Linked DNA regions of Drosophila melanogaster. The protein of the gene in region 1 purifies or fractionates together with the protein of each later gene. This does not show direct contact. Each region holds a gene or a part of one and is shown on either strand. Other genes may lie near its edges. The genes, in order: SIDL, brun and Trs33.

The links.
Region 2: the proteins of SIDL (region 1) and brun purify together in Drosophila melanogaster (affinity purification with western blotting; one study listed by BioGRID). This does not show direct contact.
Region 3: the proteins of SIDL (region 1) and Trs33 purify together in Drosophila melanogaster (affinity purification with western blotting, with the first as the bait; one study listed by BioGRID). This does not show direct contact.

The regions. Positions count from the first base shown.
Region 1 is NT_033777.3:15,213,540-15,220,637, forward strand, and holds SIDL (shal interactor of Di-Leucine motif), read right to left. Parts: upstream 5,336-7,098; 5' UTR 5,239-5,335; coding exon 5,214-5,238; intron 5,161-5,213; coding exon 4,937-5,160; intron 4,880-4,936; coding exon 2,879-4,879; intron 2,820-2,878; coding exon 2,205-2,819; intron 2,143-2,204; coding exon 1,800-2,142; intron 1,552-1,799; coding exon 1,322-1,551; 3' UTR 1,223-1,321; downstream 1-1,222. Other genes in the region: CG6654 (uncharacterized protein), read right to left, coding at 1-46; CG4210 (uncharacterized protein), read left to right, coding at 494-568, 631-682, 751-826, 887-1,208; CG12241 (uncharacterized protein), read left to right, coding at 5,872-5,937, 6,007-6,529, 6,591-7,098. UniProt on the Drosophila melanogaster protein: May play a role in vesicular transport from endoplasmic reticulum to Golgi. Has a role in one of the several mechanisms underlying dendritic localization of Shal channels.
Region 2 is NT_033779.5:20,650,027-20,658,880, forward strand, and holds brun (brunelleschi), read right to left. Parts: upstream 6,153-8,854; 5' UTR 5,759-6,152; coding exon 5,560-5,758; intron 5,497-5,559; coding exon 4,732-5,496; intron 4,678-4,731; coding exon 3,830-4,677; intron 3,771-3,829; coding exon 3,527-3,770; intron 3,473-3,526; coding exon 2,916-3,472; intron 2,860-2,915; coding exon 2,375-2,859; intron 2,313-2,374; coding exon 2,119-2,312; intron 2,060-2,118; coding exon 1,868-2,059; intron 1,808-1,867; coding exon 1,600-1,807; intron 1,535-1,599; coding exon 1,264-1,534; 3' UTR 729-1,263; downstream 1-728. Other genes in the region: CG2611 (uncharacterized protein), read left to right, coding at 225-434, 511-699; CG2614 (uncharacterized protein), read left to right, coding at 6,484-6,575, 6,682-6,804, 6,947-7,183, 7,242-7,449, 7,511-8,129, 8,186-8,378, 8,436-8,575, 8,643-8,854. UniProt on the Drosophila melanogaster protein: Cooperates with Rab11 and fwd/PI4K to mediate the flow of membrane through the Golgi, which is required to support cleavage furrow ingression, therefore promoting cytokinesis in male meiotic cells.
Region 3 is NT_033777.3:15,349,627-15,353,575, forward strand, and holds Trs33 (TRAPP subunit 33), read right to left. Parts: upstream 1,370-3,949; 5' UTR 1,295-1,369; coding exon 1,226-1,294; intron 1,158-1,225; coding exon 768-1,157; 3' UTR 719-767; downstream 1-718. Other genes in the region: CG42727 (uncharacterized protein), read left to right, coding at 77-712; Tmtc4 (transmembrane O-mannosyltransferase targeting cadherins 4), read left to right, coding at 1,725-3,842.

The DNA.
Region 1 (7,098 bases):
GTCCCGTGGAACTCAGGCAGGTAAGACAGATCTTGTCCACATCCATTTCGCGACGCAATCGGTCAAATGCAGAAACAAAATAAAACAATTAAATAAATGCAGTATGGCTGAAGTTTGTTACGCTGAATATACCGATGCATTTCAAGTGCACCTGGTCACACCTTTAATGCTGTTGGCGGCCTTCGCGCAATTCAAAAAATAATTCTAATGAGTAAAGAAGAGTATTAAATAATCTAATTTTATGGCGATAAGTGCATTGAAATAAAATTATTTCAAATGTGAATCGTATATATACAAGAATCTGGGCTTATTCTTGTTTCATCTAATTTTTTTACTTATTAACAACAAATAATTCTTTTCCCAATCGATATTGAGTTATATTAAATTGTGATCACGAGAGTTCGGCTCATCTCTATAGATTAGAATTGTTTCGACAAAAGATAAGCTCTTTTGACCATAATCAGAAAAACACAGGTTATAAAGATTTCCCACTATGTCGAAATCCGGAGAGTTTACATTCCGGCGTGCTCTAGCTGAAGATATTAAAGATGTGCTCTCCATGATTCAAGTTGAGTTTTATAAGATTCCTATTTTAATACCAATTTGAGATACTTTTGAATTGATCTGCAGGAACTGGCTGACTTTGAGAAGATGAGCAATGGTCCCCAGCTAACAGAGGAAGGTAAGAGATGGCGAAACCCTTACCATAGTAATGAAATAATGGTAAAGTAATGGATTGTAATATGACAGATCTTAAACGAGACGCAGGACTCACTGGTGGCCAGGAGTATTGTGAAGTCTATGTGCTTGTAGACAACGATACTGAGTAAGTGCTGTAGTTCTTGGCATGACCTGATTAACTTGTGGGCTTGTTCTCCTATTCTAGTCAGGCGATTGGGTACTCCATTTGCTACAAGGCATACTCAACGTGGCAGGGACGGTACTTCTTCGTCGAGGACATCTATGTCCGCCCCGAGCACCGTAAACGCGGCGCCGGAAAGCGAATCTTCTTGGAGGTTGCATCGCGGGCTGTAGAGCTTCAGTGCCCTCGCCTGGAGTTTAATGTACTGGAATGGAATCCTGCACGCAAGTTCTACGAAAGTCTTGGTGCCGTGGATTTGACAGATAAAGAGGGCTGGCACTACTACCGCGTGGAGGAGCAACAACTGGCCAAATTGGCCGCGGATCTGAGGGCAAAAAAATCTTAACTTGATTTGATTTTCAATTTTTACTACTTTATAGTAGGGCGATAAATAATTAATAATACTTGGCCATGGGCCATATGTGCTATGAGTACATTGCAATTAATTCGTTTGGCTTCTCATTGATCCCCCGCCACACTTGCGATGACATGGATCTGCATGCTCTTCGTGGAGTTGTAGACTTGACCGGGCGGAAAGGGATGCACCTTGGAGTGGCCATCGGTTTTACTTTTGCCACCGGCAGTATACTTGGATAATCGAATGCTGGGCATTGGTAGAAAGCCGGTGCTCAGCGGCATTACATCCAGCGATATGGAATGACTGTCGACGTCCTTCATGGATACGACACCTAAAAGGTTAAGTAAAAATTAGTTAGTCAACAAGTACAGACTGTTGGTTCATCGAAGTAAGCCAATTTTCTTTTTCAGTGTTAAATGTTTCCAATCAAAAGCAAGGGCAAATCTAGTTAGTGCTACGTGTGTCCTATTCCAAGGAACTTACCCATATCTTAAAATGCAAAAGTGAATCGTGTGTAGAGAAACAGAATTAAATCATAAGCAAAGAAAGAGAGAGAGTAGTAAAGAGAATCCAACTTACCCGCTGAGCGACCGCAAACGGCCCACAGATTCTGATCGTTGAGCACCTCGTACATGAGATCCGTGTAGGGATTCTCATGCACCTTGGTGATCTTCAAGTTCATGTTGCACACGGTGCGCAGACGGCACAGTTCATTGGGTTCCAGCTGCGCCTGCAACTTAAAGAGCGTTGTGTAGTCCACCAGATCAAAAGCGCAGCCATACGTTCTCCACACATCAGGCTGCGACAGTGATGCGTATTTGATTACAAAATGCACTTTTACGACGGGCAGCTCGTGCTCCGTTTTGAGGGGCTCAACTTGAATCTCGTACAGATAAGTTACAGTCAGGGATTTGTAGATTTCCTAGAAGACGAGCTCAGGAGATCAGCAATTTTAGATATTAAATTACATTGCTATTTAGTTACAATGGGCTGCTGGGATTCCGGATTAAGATCCAACAATTGCACACCGGGCACATCGCACTTGACTTGAGCGTGCTGCAAAAGGAGATGTGCTTCCATGCCCTTCATGATCACCTGCAGGAACTTCTGAGTGCCACACGTGTGAAGCCGGCAAGTGGCCTCCATGGCTGGTTGAAAATCGACGGCGATTGGGAGCTCAGTTCGAGACCATGGACAATTGAGGGCGATGTGATGCTCATGGTGTTTAGACACCTTTCGGCCCGGCATATCAGTGAGAACCTCCAGTGGGATCCTACGTTCCTCGAACGATTTGAATTGCACTAGTGGCACTTGAAGCGTACTCTCAAATGATTGGTCATCATTATAGGCTGCTTCATCATCCGTATTTCGCGCCTGTCGAATGCGAAGATTCTTGGAGCAACGCAGTGTGATTTTTGCATCGGGCGGAAAGATGAAACTGCCACCGGAGACATTTAGGCTAATCGGCTGCACTATGCCAGCTATCAGAGTCTTGAATTCCAGCGTGGCACTTGCCGGCTTGGTGCTAATCTCAAAGGTGGCAGGCATAAATGGCAGCTGTTCCGACAAGAACTCCAGGCTGGACATGCTAATACATAGCTTAAAAACAAAAACGATTGAAGATAGGCCAAGAAAACTGATGCAACGTGATCACCCACCTGTTTGAATTGCCAGCAGCCCACTCGAGTGGCCTTTGCCTTCATCTCAATTAGGTTTACGCCCGGCTGAAGGGCAATGTTTTCCGCTTGAACAAAATTGGTGAAGTCCGCCTGGACACTTGGTGAAAGTTTGCGCTTGGTGCTGCTTGTTCGTCGCACGGGTTGCTTGCTTTTTGGCAAGTCGCAGGCCACAGCGGCAGAGTGCAGGCGATTGTCCTGTTTGTAGACTAGCTGAAGCGAGACCTTTAATCGTGATGAGGTGTCCTTGGCCTTTACCGTCGACGGGGAGGCAGTTAGGCTGACATTCTCCATGGCCAGCTCCAGAGAGGAAGCTTCCAATTCGTAACAAAGCTTAACATTTTCAGCTACGACCCCGCGCGGATAGAGACTTTCTACTTTTAGCTGCACTAGAATATAATCATCCTGTATAATAGGTTTCTGGTTAACAACCTCGATGTCCAGAATGCGAAAGTGATCCTCCAGTACACAATAGTTGGCATTCTCTATCGACGGCTGTGCCGAAAGCGTCGTCTTAAGTGTTTTCAGTGACTTGAGAAACTCGTCGAAATAAAATGTTCGCACTAAGGTCTCTAGTTCTGCGCAACACGAGATGGAGCTACATGTCTTGGTGTAGGCCAGCGAGTCGCCCATCTTGCGGTAGCAGTTAGCTAGTTCAAGCAGCGTCTGCGAGCTCAGCATGTGCCAGTTCTCTGCCTTCAGCTCCCTGAGAAGATCCGTAAAGAATCCAACAGCTTTATGTGGCTCATTTAGAGCGCAGTAGAAGTTTCCCAGGTCCAGGCCAACCAAACGGGCCGATCGCAAGCGTGTCACATGCTTGTACGTACTGATGGCCAACTCTGCCAGCTCCAGGTAGAGCTTCTGGAAGGCTTGATTCGAGCCCAGGGCTTCCTTAAGCTGCTCAGCCCCCGATTTCTTGGGCTTACGATTGGGAGACCGGTCTCGTAGCTGAGGTGTCGCCTGGAGGAACTGATGCTGCTCGGACGGCGCATCTCCAATTCCCGACGATAGCTGCACCACTATGTGCAACTGCTCCGAAGTTGGCGTGCAGCCGGGCAAGAGGCCACACAGTTTGCCGAGCTCGTAGAGCTTATCCTTGGCCAAGTTCCAGATGGGAGCACAGTGCTGGAAACATGTTAGCTCGTTGGGTTCCATAGCCTGTTCGCACAGCTGCAGGACTTCCAGAGCACAAACAAACTCCCAACAGCAAAGAGCGCCCTCCTGACACTCCAGCTTTATGAGCTCCACCTCGCGCAGTGTGGAAAACAAAAAGTTCAGAAGCCTCTTCGCGATTTCTGGGATGTCATTGCAAGTAAGCAGCAAATAGGCTTGACGTTCGAAAAGATAGTTGCGGAATTCCAACAGAGAAACGCCTTCATCGCGGATTTTGTTCCTCATTTCGAACTTGTCCGCTCGGGTCAGACATATACCATGGAAAGCGTCCAGGGGCTTGCGAAAATGGTTCAACCACTGCTGCTTCTCGTTGAGACCAGTGTGAGTTATGAACTGCGAGAACATGGCGTCCAGTTCATCGTACTGTATCAACGCCTCGGTGGGCAATTCCAGCTTTTCAAAGATCAACGCAAGGTCTTCCTGCATAAAGAAGTATTGGCGGAAATCCCAGCCTTCAATGTTTCTCTTTTCGCGCTTGCTCCGTATTAGTTCCTCGTACTTAACTATGTTCCGATTGTAGCTGGTGAGCATAAGGAAGCGAATACGCTGCACTAGGCAGCGGAAGGACTCGGTGGATTTCTGTTCAAACTTGGCCGGGTTCAGAACTGAGATGCAGCGGTCGTCGTTCTTCGTGCCAAAATCCAACCGTATCTTATCTAGCACAGTGGTGCGTGGCATGAAGTTCTTTGTCTTCCGCATGTCCAGTGTTTCGACCAACAGAATCATCCAATCCGAGACGCCATAACTGGTTAATGTTTTTAACCAAATGTCGATTGCCTCCCTGATCGTGGCTTTGTAGGTGTCCACATCCTGAAAGATAGTTAATGGAGGTGGATTTAGAGATTCCTACAGGATCAGTTAACTCACATTGCACTCGGTGACGAAAATGTGCAGTATGGGGTGCTCCAAGATGCTCCAGTCACCCTGCTTGTACTTCTCCAAGGCCGCAACATTGAACTGCTGTGCCTGGGCTTCCAAGCGAACATGTTTCGTGGGGCGTTGGAAAGTGCGTCGCCACTCGCAAGTGTCCAGTGGAATCGCGTTCAGGATCTGGGACTCCAGCGATCGGAACAGCGGGCACGAGCCAGAGTCTGTAAGTAAAGGTTTGATATGGGATTTATTGTGTTAATTTTTTACAACTCACATGTTATTATGGGCTTTATCTGCATTGTTTTTGTAAATTTCGTATGTTTTTCATTTGGCAAACGAAAGCCACACAACAATCTCAACCAAACAGCTGATAAGGCGAGGGCGGGGGAATCGATTGTTCGTTGCTATCAATAATCGGTTGACCAATTTAAAAAATATTTTAATTCCTAATGCAATGAACCATTAAATGCTAGCCTAATACAAGAAATTAATAATCTAATTAAGCAGCTTTAACTATTCGCTCAACAGGTGTGCTTTCAGCAGCCCTGGTCAAGGGCGTAGAGAAAAAGTAGAAGGATATGCAGAATAAAATATGGTTAGATGAACCAAACTAAATGGTTTTTAATTGGTAGAGAAAGCCTTCTTTTATTAAAAAATATTAACAAAAAATGTTTTCACTTAAATTTGTTAAGGGGTATATGAGGGGTATATCCCTTTTGCACCACACCTCAGTTTTTTATGGCTTGGCTAAAAATCGATACCACCCACAGTCGCCTATCGAACAGCTGATAGTGAAATCAGATTCGGTAGCTAATTGAAAACGAAACAATGAAGAAATAATATTTGTTTTTCACACGCCACAAAGAGACACTTAAGAGAAACTTTCACTGAATGCGCGGCCAGGTCTCGACTGGAAATTAGCCAGCCCCAGCATGGACATGGCCAGGAGCATTTTTGGCCGCGACCATGAGGGTTACGTGGGCCGTGAAGAGCATACGGTGCGTCTAAATTGACCAGAAAAGATTGCTTATCATGGTAATTAATATTTATCGTTCCACTGCCAACAGCGCAAACTGCAGAACCTGGGCTCGGAAGACGATCTGGGAGAGCTGCCGCCTATGATGGAGGAACTAAGTGTGGCCGATGGCCTGCGACCAAATCCCGGTGGGCCATTCTCCGCTCTTACCGCCTCCATGTGGCCACAGGAAATCCTAGCCAAGCTGGGCGGTGGCGCGGAATTGGCTTCCGGCCCAAACGACCAGCCGGAGTACCGTTTTGACGAATTTGGCTTCCGGGTGGAGGAGGAGGACGGTCCGGAGCAGAGCTCCAACAAATTGCTGAGCATACCCTTTGTAGAGGACGCGCAGCAGCGATTGCAGTGGATCGCCCACCTGGAGTTCTCACACAACAAGGAGGCTGCCGAGCTGAGCTGGGAGCATGTGGATGTAATGCTCCCACGCACAGAAAAGCTGCGCAATATGGTCCGTCAGGGTATCCCGCACACGTTGCGTGCCCAGATGTGGATGCGTCTATCAGGAGCGTTGGCCAAGAAGCAAAAGAGCGAGACCAGCTACCACGATATAGTTAAAGGTAGATCGAACGCGACAAGAAAGGTTATAAATACATTATTAATATACACCTAATTTGATAGCTTCTAGCAATGACCAGCTGATGACTTCGAAGCAGATCGAGAAGGACCTTTTGCGCATCCTGCCAACAAATGCCTGCTTTAGCAATCCGAATGGGACAGGCATTCCCCGATTGCGCCGCATTCTGAGGGGCATCGCGTGGCTTTTTCCTGACATTGGCTACTGTCAGGGCACCGGAGTGATCGTTGCCTGTCTGCTTCTCTTCATGGAGGAGGAGAACGCCTTTTGGATGATGGCCACCATTGTAGAGGATCTGCTGCCAGCTTCCTACTACAGCTCAACTCTTCTGGGAATTCAAGCCGACCAACGCGTGATGCACACGCTTATTGCCAACTACCTGAGCAGCGTGGACGAGTCCTTGCGTAAGCACGACATCGAGCTGTCTTTAATCACGCTGCATTGGTTCCTCACGCTTTTTGCCAACGTGGTGCATATGAAGATTCTTGTGCGTATCTGGGACTGGTTCTTTTACGAGGGCTCCATCGTGCTGTTCCAGTTGACTCTGGGCAT
Region 2 (8,854 bases), on another chromosome or scaffold:
AAGAAAGCTTTCCAAATTAAAAAGTTAAATATTTAAGGATGTGTTATTATGCGATATGTGTATGTTTCGTTTTATTTGGTCTCTACTGTGCTTGCTGATTTTCCCCAGGTTGGCAGTCTCGTCAGCTGTTTTCCTGATAACATTGACTTGCCGCAAAATGCTTGTTTGTTTAGTCTGAAATTGGCATCTGGTCAAGATCAACTGCCAGTAGGTAGAGACCACATATGGAGCCCACCAATTCGGAGTCGCGGCACCGCCTAAATGGAGGGGGCAGGAGTTCCGCGCCAGCAGGCTCCGGAGAGTACATCAAGGTGGTGGAGTCCCAATGCGAGACCGATGGATTCGTTAATGAACAGTGGACGGAACCGGCGATGCCAGGTCCAGTGCCTTGGAAGACCATTATTATCATTCTTTTGCTGTTTATCGGTGGCATTGTGAGTAGTGATTACTGGTGCCCACACATACATGCACAGTTCCTTCGAACTTCTGATCTGATGTCTTTGTCTTCAGGTTTGCATCGCCTTTGCCACCTTAAACTGGGTGACGGACACGAGCCGGGAGCGATCGGATCGGGTGTGGGCGTTGGGTATCATCGGGGCACTGACCTTCATCCCGGGAAGCTACTATGTGTACGTGCTCTTCTGCATAATGCTCAACCGCAACGGATTCACCATGGACGAGATACGAAGACTCGGCTGAAAAGGAGAAACCAAAGACACCAAATGTTTCGTCAAATAGAGTTTATTGCTTTTACACTACAGTTATTCACACATTTCATTGGCATAATTTCTTTAGCAACAATCTTAATATGTAGTTCATTATGATACATGTGTATTGCCCCGGTAATTGTATAAAAATATTTTTTAAACACGAGCTTCGTTATCAAAATGTATAATGCTTGGCGTGGCTTCTAGTGCGCGGAACATTGGCTATCTATTTAAATAGCGCATCGCTTGCTTAAATATGTATATGTTTTACAGGCATGAACTATAGGTTATATGATTTATGTTATGGCCATTTTCTCTATCAAGCTTGGGGCACAGTATAACTTTGTGTTTCAGCTTAATTATATACAGTGTTATGCGTTACATGTTGTATCTATGTAGGTAAGAATTCTTTACAAACAATTGCTTTTCGTGTTTACGGATATAACAGGGCGCGTGGGAATCAAATACTTTAACAAGAGTAGGGGATTAGTATGGGGTGTATACACAATACATACACAAACATTGTAACGAAATTAAACTAGCGACAGGTAACATTTCACTGCTCCACGACGGTCACCTCGATGGGCGGAATGAACTTCCACACATGCGCCTGCTGCTCATCGTAGCTGGAGGAGAACATGACCGATTGGCCGACACTCTCCGCTTCTGCCGGACAGGAGCGGGTTAGCAATGACGACGGCTGCTCCGACTGCTTCTGCGGATTGCTGGTGCATTCGATGCTGGCCTTGAAACGTCCGGGGGTAAAGAATATCACAGAGCAAGTATGCTCTTTCTGCTCCTGCTTCTCCAGTAGTGGTATTGCAATTCTAAGAGGGTTGATATTGTCTAAATATTTAACTGCTTCGTTTCAATATTTTTCTTCAGCTCTCACCTATTTGGTCCTGAAATGGCCACGCGTGTCTCCAAATTGTAATTTTCCATTCCGTTCAGGTAATCCTGATAGAACTTAATGCTCAGCACCAGATTTCTAAGTGGTTGCAGGGATTGATTGGCCAGCTGGATGCTTAGCAGCGACCGCTGTCCCACCGTGCATACAATCTCATTGTGTGGCTGCACGAGCGTGTCTTGAAAGCTGATAGCTAAAGGTGTAATACAATTGTCATTACAAAGTCGGTAAGGAAGATTCTAAACAAACACACCCCACTCCAAAGGCGACACAGCTGTCAAATCCACCATAGACTGGGAGAGAACTATTCCTCGCAGTGAGGCGATTCCCTGAATGTCCGTCCCCGTTAACAGCCACTTGATTTTCACCCTTTCAGCTATATGAATTGAGCAGAGCTTACTCAGAGCATCGTTAAACGACAGCAGCTGCGTCCGGAAGCAGAGTTCTAGTAAAAAGATAAGCACAAATAGTGAATGAGCTCATATTAAGCGGGATTCATCATACCCCTCTCCAGATTCTCAGCTACCTCGGCCGCCCGAGCAGCCACCACTTTCTCCAAGGAGCACCGATCCACGGGTATGGGCACTCGGCAGCTCTCTTTGGCCTCGATGAGTATATTCTTGGTGTCCGTATAGTTGAGCGACATCTCTTGAGCGGTTAGGTTGGAGATGTCAAGTACCAGGTAAAATTGGGAGGCTCTGTAAATTTGATATACAATGTTAGAAGGAGTTACTTTGAAAAACGAGAAGATTGCACTTACACCTCTGCGGGAAGCACATCCCAGCTTGTAATCTGTACGCTAGGCAAAAGTTCTAGATTAAAGGACACCGCACATTGGCGACAGTAGCCCGCCGTCAAAGCATCTCCGCCCGAGTACTTAAATCTAACTTGCGCCTCTATGTGCTGGTTATATTGTGACCCAAGGCTGGAAGGTCCTACTCCTCCACCGCCGCCAGGGTGCAGGGTTAAGGCAGCCAGCGATGGTGGACCGCCAGAAATGGTCGACCGGAAACTGGAATTCTGTGGCTCATTTCGACGATGATGCGGTGAACCGACTCTCGAGGGTAAGCTGGCGTGCCCAGAGGTGGACACGCTCGAGTAGTGCGTTAGTGACGACGCACCGTAGTCCCCAGGAGCAGCGGCAGAATGCAATGAAGCAGGTGGTTGAGGACAAACGAAGTCCGCTTCGGCAAAAACATCCACTATGATTTCAATGGTGCCCTGGGGAGGCACTGGCAAATGGGCCTGCAAAGGAAAATCATTGATTATTCATTTACTCAATATAAGATCATAAATCTTACCTTGATGGCTTCTTCATCTATTCGGAAGATCTTCTGCTGCAGCTCCTGCTCCACATTTGAGTTGATGCTAAACTCTAGGTGCTCCAGTGGCAGCGTGGCGCTCTCATTGGTAATAGTTATTGTGCAGCTGGAGGATTCTCCGTTGTACAGCGTTAAGCTGGCAGAGGTCACAACGATATCCGCACTGTTCATGTTGCTAAACGTCGCCGTCTGTGGTAGCGAAGTTTTCACAGATATCCTAGGAAGGGCGGGGATAACATCAACCACGTAGTTGGGCGGAAAGCTACGACCACGCATGTGCTTCAGCCGACAGTTGGACTTCACACCGAGCGTGTGCGTGCTGTAGCCCTGCAGATCGAGTTGCCCCGTCTCAATTGGCGTTCCATGTAGCGCCACATACGTGGGCACATGTGGCTGTAGTACAAGAGTCTGGGGCAAAGACTCAAACACCACGCCGTTTGTTAGCAATCTCATGTCCGTTACGGGCAGCTCAAAGGGCAGGGGATTCCGCAGGCGCACAGTCACTTCACTAAGATCATTTTGCACCCACTGGAAAGCTAATATAAAAATTAGTTATGTACGTATGCAGAGATTTTAACCCCAAATCTTACCTATTTTATTTTTGTCCTTTTTCTTATCCCTCCTGTCGACAGAATTAAAGTGTATGGGGGTGAATAGGAAAGGCCCACTGTCCGCTTTGGCCACCTTTATTCTTTGCGGTCGCAAATGAGCGGGCAAATCTTTAACCTGAAGATCGATACAGTAGGGCAGATCCGTGAGATTGGCGGGTGGTATCACAGTGCCATTTTCCAGCACCAAGGGCACAGGAGAGCCCTCGCACTGAGCGCTTAAATTCTTTAGAAAATGTACCGATTTTAGTGTGAATGAATTAGCATCTTATTTTGATAACTTACCTGCAGTTGCACAGCCATCTCGCTTTGCTCCGTTGGCGACATGTTGTCCCACTGAGTCTGCAGCAAAAAGGTCATGTGCCGCGTGGCCAAAGCGGAGTGTCCCAAACGCCTGGCGGCAGTTATAAGGGTCTGGACCAGATCGATTTGCAACGCCGGCCAGCCGGCGGCATTTTCTATTACTTCCAAGGGGTCGAGACAAAGCCGGTACCCCGTAAAACTGCCCAACATGAGGCGGTAACTTTGGTTCCAGTCCGGCGCTTGGCTGCCCTGCTGAACGTGCTTGAGTGCAGCGAGTCTTTGGAAAAATGCCGCCTTCCTTTGGTATCCGATCTGCTGGTAAAGATCCGTAATGACCTCGAATCTCTTTACCCGCTCGGCTTCGCTCATGCTCAGGTTTATGTAGAGTATATTCTGCAAAAACATGGCCACGTCCAGGGGACGATTCTGCTCGATGCAAATCCGCGAGGCCTTCAGTGCCGCCTCCGTCTCTATAGTGGCTGCATGCCTGTACTTGCTGTAGTTAATGATGGCCTTGCGATAGTAGTTGCTGATCTCCTCCGCCTTGAGGATGTTGCCCGGCAGATCGCCGTTCCTCTGGTGTCCTGGTATCGGTGCTGCCGATATCGTCGAAGTGGAGGAAGATGATGTAGTTGGCGTGTCCGAGGCGGAGGAATTGGTGGCCGTTGTCACCAGGGAAGACACGGATGAGCAGGAAGATGAGTTCGAGGTTACGCGCTGCTGAGGCTGGTTGGAATCCACATTGTTCGCGGTCGCGTCACTGGCGCTAATCTTCTTGGTGGCGTCGCTAGCACGCCACTTTTCAGGGGTGTTTTTTAGGGGAGAGGTGCCTGGCAAGGATGAGGAATAAGTAAGGCATATTCAATTAGGTTTTTGGTACTCACCCGCCTCCTGAAGCGACGAGTTTCTATGCAGCGTTTCGGTTTCTCGCATTTGGGGATACAACAGCATTGCGGAAGCGGCACACAAGCCCTCTTCGGTTGCCCCAACCCAAAGGGAATCACCTACCGACCTCAAAGTCTCATTGGCATTGTGGTACAGACTCAAGGCGTCGTCAACCAGGCCAGCTTGCAGCGATAGATCTGCCAGGTTCTTCATCACACGACCCACGCATCTTTTCCTATTGTTCCTCGACTCCATGTCCAGGCCCACAAAGTCTCGCTTTTCAAAGGGTGCCAGCAACAGGCTCACCTTGTCCGCCTTCTCGCGAGATCGCTCTAACCGTCGTGATTCCAGGACCCAAAACAACGCGCTAGCAAAGTCCCCAATTCGAGATTCGAGATCGGCACACGAATCCTGTTCGCGATAGAAAAAGGCCTGCGCTTTGAAGTTCGATGGCGTTGTGAATTCATCTTGAAGGCGTCGTCCACCAGCTGCCGGTGGTCCCAGCACCTCCCCAATGGTTTCCAGTGGCTGCTCATCGGGCCCAAAGAAAATTGCACGGGACTCGTACAGAGTAGACCCGTAGCGAACTTTTAAGGACTCGTGCTGACGGCACAGCTCATTGAGCTCGATTTGGCTATCGAATTTGCCAATGGTGACAAGTCCCAGCAGTCGGCGATGGGTCTGAAAGTCGCCCCAATCGTTGTGCTCCACAGGATGATCGTGAACGAAGCGGATCCAAATAGAGCGGGGATGTCCAGAGGAGTCTGTAAGGCAGATTGAATTATTTGTAATCAAAAAGATAGCAAGAGAGCTGGAGCAACACACACCATTGACCCGGATGTGATTGACACGTCGCACTTTCTCAAACGCCCGCTGAAGGACGCGAGCGCGCGATGGACCCACGCCGCGGAGCAGCACCAGCAGGCAGCTGTGGTGCAGGGCGCTCTGCTCGTAGTCTGGGCGTGACAACGCTGGCTCCATGCCACCAGCACCGTGCGACAGCATCAGGCCAACGGCCGCACGCATTTACACCGCGCCGCGGCTCTCAAATCCAATCCCTGTCCCAGTCCGGAGGATGCGAGCGCCAGTTTCCTTTGCATCTGCCAAGTTCTTCACAGGCGTTCCATACCGCTGTCAAGTGGATAAGCTCTCGATTGGATTCGATTTCTTCAGAGGAGCCACCTCCTCCCCCTTTTCGAGGTCAGTCAGCGCCTGCTTTCACCACGCTTTTTGCCTGGTTTCTCGGCTGTTTCCGAATCCGCTGCACTCCTTCACATGGGTACCGATGCCGGGTACTCGGAGGAAGTCGAAAACCCCAGGAAATAAATGACTAAATGGCTTTTTAAGCGCAGATAATCGTTTAGCCGTTTGCTTTGGCAAAGAAATTGTCCAATCAGTGCCTGTCGACTAGTCGCTGTGAATGGCACATCGCACAGATTGACGGCAGAAAGGTCACACTAATCTAATCGATGGTGTTGACAATCAGATAAAATATTTGTACAAATATAAAATGGAAAACCAAGTTTCTTATAGTGCTACTTAAAAAAACTTTAATTGTATTACTTTTAGTATTACATTTAGCGAAATAAGCTATTGAATATTTTGCAAATGATCCGCCTCTAACTTATCGATACTTTTTGGCTCCGGCCACACTGCTGAGGGACCATCCACTAGAATGGCAATGCCCCGTACAATCACATTTTGCCGCTTTATTGTTTATATTTTGCATCCTTTTTGTAGTTGTTGAAACCATGAATTTACTGCCCAAAACCCGCGAGGAGTTCGCACAGACCGATTACTGGAACGAATTCTTCAAGAAGCGCGGTGAGAAGGCCTTCGAATGGTACGTAAATGGTACCCACTAAGCTCGAGCAGACTTCTTGGGGAAGGGAAGAACTCCGAGCAACATGTGTTTTCTTGGCCAACTAAAAGTTGCTTTAACTGCGAAGGTACGGCGAATACCTGGAGTTGTGCGACCAGATCCACAAATACATCAAGCCGGCGGATAGGATTTTGATGCTGGGATGCGGTAACTCCAAATTGAGCATGGATATGTACGACACAGGATTTCGGTAAGGAATCTTCTGTAATAAGCTTTATGTATAAGTAGCATGCGCCTCCTCCTTACATATAACATTCCTTTCCAATATGTATTAGATCTTGATCTTGGCCCTATAAATAACTTTCCCTTGGTATTTTACATTTTCCCCTTAGGGATATCACAAACATAGATATATCTCCCATCGCTGTGAAGAAAATGCTGGAACTGAATGCCAAATCGCGGCCGGAAATGAAGTTTCTGCAAATGGACGCGACAGCAATGACGTTCCCGGATGAAAGCTTTTCGGTGTCGTTGGACAAGGGAACGCTGGATGCTCTGTTTGCCGACGACGAACCTGAAACGAGAGCGGTGGTGGAAAACTATTTCAAGGAAATACTAAGAACCATGAGGTGGGTAATGTGCACAGTCCCAGATCGAAGGTATTCAATGTCTCTATTTATGCATCAGGAACGGTGGTCGCTATGTGGGTATCTCCCTGCTGCAAGAGCACATCCTCAATTTCCTACTGGACTTCCTGCCCAAGCACAATTGCATGCTGAGGATTGTTCACTGCTTGGGGGTGGAACAGGCCAACAAAGAGAAGAATGCCGATGATGCCTTGACGCTGCCTGTTTTCGTAGTCGTCGCTACTAAATTTAAGAGCCTTCCAATGCCAGTGAGTAGACCCCTAGGCAATTAACTTTTTGCATTCAGATTACAATTTGATTTACTTGTAGGTACTCGAATTTGGTTTCGGCAACGACAAGATGCAAAGATTCACCACGGTCTCCGAACTGAATAGCGCAGTTTCATCAGTCCAAAAGGCCGCTTTGGTTTGCAACGGTCTAGCCAGATCCAACATAGCTGGTCACAATGAGGTGATCATGGATCTGCACCGACCATCTGAGCAAACCCCTCGCTATACTATCCACATACTGGATAAGCCGCCAGCTCGCGGCCTGGGCAAATACGCGGCGTTTATCGTTCCTCAGGGAAGAGAGGTGGAGTGGATTTTTTCCACGCCTGCGGGCCGGAAAAAGCTCCAGGACTCCGCCAACTTCCAACGACTGGCTGTGGTTACCCTTCATAGAGATCAGGTTTACAGTACCTTAGACGAAGTGAAGCAAGAGTTGGCCGACAGCATAAAGAACCTATCGCCAGCTGGACTCACTGATCAGATACCGTATCTAAGTCTTGGATCCGATGTGGGCAAAAGGGAGACTCTTATTTGTGGGTTCTCTAAGATATCTGGAGATTTCCGCATCGAGGAAGTGGAGGCCAATGGCAAGACCCTGCGACGCCTTATTTTTCTCAGCAATCAGTTTGTTGTGCAATCGGAAGCCTTAGTTAAAACAGGTAAATATATCTTACTATCATTTTGCCGTTTTGTTCAAGCACAAATTATGTTGTAGTCAAAATCAAAGGCAAAAAGGATCGAAAGAAGATTGACTTCGGCTACCTAGCCTGCCAGCATCATTTGTACATGTCCGTGGGTGTCCAACTGGCCACAACGGTGCAGCATCCCAAAAGAGATGTGGAAAAGGATGTTCTCGTCGTCGGCTTGGGAGGCGGCGGTCTGTGCAGCTTTCTTCACGCCGCTTTGCCGTAGGTCTTACTCAGTTTAACTACTATACTCTTTTTTAATTGCAATTTTCCTTTCAGGCAAGCTAGAATAACGGCCGTCGAAATTGATCCTATAATGTTGGAGGTGGCTGAGCAGTATTTTGAGCTCAAGCAGGACAAACGCTTTCATGTGGTTATCGATGATGGCTTGGATTTCGTTGAGCGATGTCGCAATGAAGGTGAAAATCCACGATACAATCTCGTATTAGGCAAAATTTTGTATTATTGTAATGCATTTACGTTTAGATATCCACTTCGATGCCGTGTTGTTCGATGTAGACAGCAAGGATCTCAGTTTGGGAATGAGTTGTCCGCCCCAAAGCTTCCTAGCTACGAAGATCCTGCAGCACATAAAGGAGATTATCGGTCCGAAAGGTCTCTTTATGCTAAATCTCGTGTGTCGCGATGAGAGCCTTCGCACAGAGGCTCTCAACAATCTGCACAAAGTCTTTCCTGCT
Region 3 (3,949 bases), 140 kb from region 1:
GTGCCGGCGTCACTGCCAAGTTCACCGGCCATCGGAAGCAGCAAGACCGCTTAATTTGCAACTAACAGTATTCAATATGATGGACGAGCAATCGGAACTCGAGACACTGCGTGAAATTTATTACCTAACTGATGATGCGTCGTGCAACTGGCGCAAGTTGCTTGTCCTGGGCGACTGCCTGGACCAACAGCTCAAGCGCAAGCTGCTCTGGATGTGGCCGACATCGGTGGACTTGGACTACTTTAATCAGCTGCTAGCCATGCACGACATCCAGCGAGTTTTGAGCATCGGCTGCGGCAGTGGGCTTTTGGAATGGCTTATGACAGTGTCTGGAGGTCGGAAAGTCCCCATGTTTGGCTTGGAGGTCGATCGCAACTGGTGGCAGAGCAAGTACTCCGTTCGAAGTTTTATACCGCTTAACTATTTAGAGGATGCCAGCCAACTGGATACGGATTTATTGACCAAATGCTGCAGTGACGTTCATCCGTGTGCCTTGCTCTTCTGCTACTTCAACAATCGAGGAGCTTTTCTGGACTATCTAAATGTGTATCAAGGAAAGTGGCTTATATTGATTGGACCATTGCCCGCCCTGGGAATCCACACAGATCCCAATCCCGCCCAGCCCCAACTGCCCATCGACCAGTGGATCCTGCGAGAACGCCTTAACTGGACTGACCACAACATTGTGGCATTCTACGAAAAGATAGCCTAGTCTAGTCTGTAGTATCTCTATAATTGTAGTAATAAACCATTGCCTTACATCCTAATTAGTTCCTGTTCACTTCTATGTGAAACTTGCAGGCGGGTATGCTTTGCACTTCGGCCGTCACGGTGCTGTTAATGCCTAGATTGCTGAGAGCTCCTCGCACCAGCCCGCACGTGAAGGCCACGAACTTGGGCGCGTGCTCCAGCTGCTTGGTGCCCGGCGAGATGCGAGTCAGAAAGCGGAAAGCCTTGTCCTGCACAACGTACATTCCGTGGTTGTTCGTCCTCAGGTTGTCCACTTGCTTCTTGTATATAAGCATCCAGAAGTCGGTGCATATAAACTTCATAGTCTCCAACTCGTCCTTAAAACGCGAAACTTCACGGGTGAGCCGCTCAATCAGGCGGTAGCCGGTGGTGAAGCCTATATACTCCAAAGTGGCCAGGTCGTGCTCCTAATAGGCGGAACCAAATCAAAATCGGTTGTATGACTGATTTTTTTTTGCGTCCCTCGTGTTCCTACCTTATTGCTATCCAGACAATAATTGACTATCTCTGCATGGAGGCAATCGAAAAGGATTTCTTCAGACATTTTCGAGGATTTAATTTTTCTTTGTGAGTTCAACAAATTTTTCCTCGGATTTGTTTTGATCTAGATTTAAACAGCTGTTGCAAGCGTTAACGGGCGAATGTCTTGTTTGCTTTTAGTGGTTTATTGTTATTACTATTATTTATACTTTAATATCAAGAGTATGTATAATTATTTTAATATGAATACTCTAAAATGAGCAGATTTGATAGATCTATTTAGCGTAATTTCAAATCATTTTATAACCATATATTTTTCGATGCATATATTTAGCTAAGCTGCACACATTTCTATCGCTGATCTGGCATCACTATTCAGTGAGGGGGTGTTTGGACAAAAACACAACAAAAAATGTATACAAAACAATTCCGATTAAAATTCGCAGAATAAGTGAATTAAACTTGAACAATTGACAATTAGTAAATAATCCAGTATGCTAGACCTCGTTCACAAAGCCACGCTGCATAGCATGGTCTGTCAGGCAATCCTAGTGTTAATCTGTTTGCTATGCTACGGATGCGGTGGCCTCAGTGGAGCGAAGTTTGTCTTCGATGATACGGTGGCCATCGTCAAGAACCGGGATGTCAACTCACTGCCCACCAACTGGACGGCGATCTTCACGCACGACTTCTGGGGTGCTTCCTTGCTCAGTTCCGATTCCCACAAATCATTTCGGCCACTGACCACCCTGATGTTCCATTGCGAGTATGCCCTTCTGGGGCTAAGTGCCGCCCACATGAAGTTCCTAAACCTCCTGCTACACTGCGTCAACACGCTGCTCATGTGGCGATTGATTCGCTCTCTCTATGTTCCGGAGGTCAGCACGGCAAGATGGGCCATCCTCTCCGCTGCTCTATTTGCCGCCCATCCAATTCACACAGAGGCGGTTTCTGGTGTGGTTGGAAGGGCCGAGCTCATGTTCGGCATGATTCACTTGTTGTGTCTTCTGCTGACCGTGGCCAATACCGGAAGACTTGGTCCACAGACTGGCGGTCTAATCATGCTGCTCACCGCTGTGGGAATGCTGTTCAAGGAGTCCGCTGTGACCATCCCCATGTCGTGTGTACTATTGGATTACTTTCAAAACGGCTACTATCATCTGCGATTCAAGGATCAGTGGAGTCTTTTGCGCACCCGGATCAGCTACTTGTTCTACTTGCTGGGTACCTTGGGTCTGCTGACGGCTCGCCTTTGGTGGCAGGACTTTGAGACGCCTACCTTCAAGGAAGTTGACAACCCCGTTGCGCACAATGAGCACGTGCTGACCCGTGGGCTCTCCCAGCAGTATCTGCTGGTCATGAACATCTGGCTGATGCTGTGCCCCCACTGGCTATGCTACGACTGGGCATTGGGTTGCGTCAAGTTGGTGACCAACATCTGGGATCTGAGACTGCAGGGCGTCATCGGATTCTACTCCATCGTATTGGTGGCTCTGATGAACTTCCGACGGCTGCCCGGAATGATGTTAGCTCTGGGTTTAATGATCGTCCCGTTCCTGCCCGCGTCGGGAATCATTTGCGTAGGATTCGTGATTGCCGAACGGACGCTCTATGTACCCTCCATTGGCTTTTGCCTGCTGTCCATCTATGGATTCTTATATTGGTATGACAGCAGTACGGAAAACACCCACTGGCGCACTGCTCTACGGATTCTTTTAATGCTGCTCTTTTCGGTTATGATGGTACGGACTCGGCAGCGAGCTACTGACTGGCTTAACGAGGAGCAGTTGTTCAAGTCCGCGCTACAGGTGTGTCCTGACAATGCCAAGGTACACTATAACATAGCCCGACTGGCCACTGATATGGGAAACAATACGAAAGCCTTTCAGCACTACCACAGGGCCATTGAATTGTATCCGAACTATGAGTCAGCTCTTATGAACCTCGGCAACCTGTATCGGGAGCACGGTCAACTATCCACCGCCGAGGAATACATTCGATTGGCTTTGCAGGCGTATCCCGCATTTCCAGCGGCTTGGATGAATCTCGGCATTGTGCAGTCGGCTCAGGGAAAGTACGACAAGGCTCTGGCCAGCTATGAGAAGGCCCTGAAGTACAGAGCCAATTTCGCCGTCTGCTACTACAACATGGGCAATCTGTATCTGGAGCAGAAACGTTACGCCGAAGCGCTTCATCATTGGCAGCATGCTGTGGCACTAAATCCCCGCCAGCCAAAAGCCTGGGCTAACATTCTGACAATGCTGGACAACAAGGGGTTGCAGGATGACGCCTTGCGCATCTCTAATCAGGCTCTCCAACATCTACCCAACGATGTCAGTATCCTTTTCATTCGAGCAAACGTGCTTGGCAAATTAAAACATTATACGGAGGCGGAGGCGATCTACAAGCGCGTTATTGAGCTGGAGCCCCACAACACATTGTACCACACGAATCTCGGAGTTCTCTATCATCGCTGGGACAAGACGCAGGAGGCTATAGAGGCTTATCGGACTGCAATAAGTATTAGTGCGGCTAGAGCAACGACAGCCCGGGAGAATCTCAGCAAGCTCTTAAAACGCCTGGAAAGGGAGGCGCAAGTCATGCAGAGATAAGCGTTTCAAGTCCCACCATCCAAATATGGATCCAACCAAAATCTTGGTTGTTTGCAAATAATAAGAGGTATGTACACTTCGCAAGCTGTAATAATCCCAAACGAAAG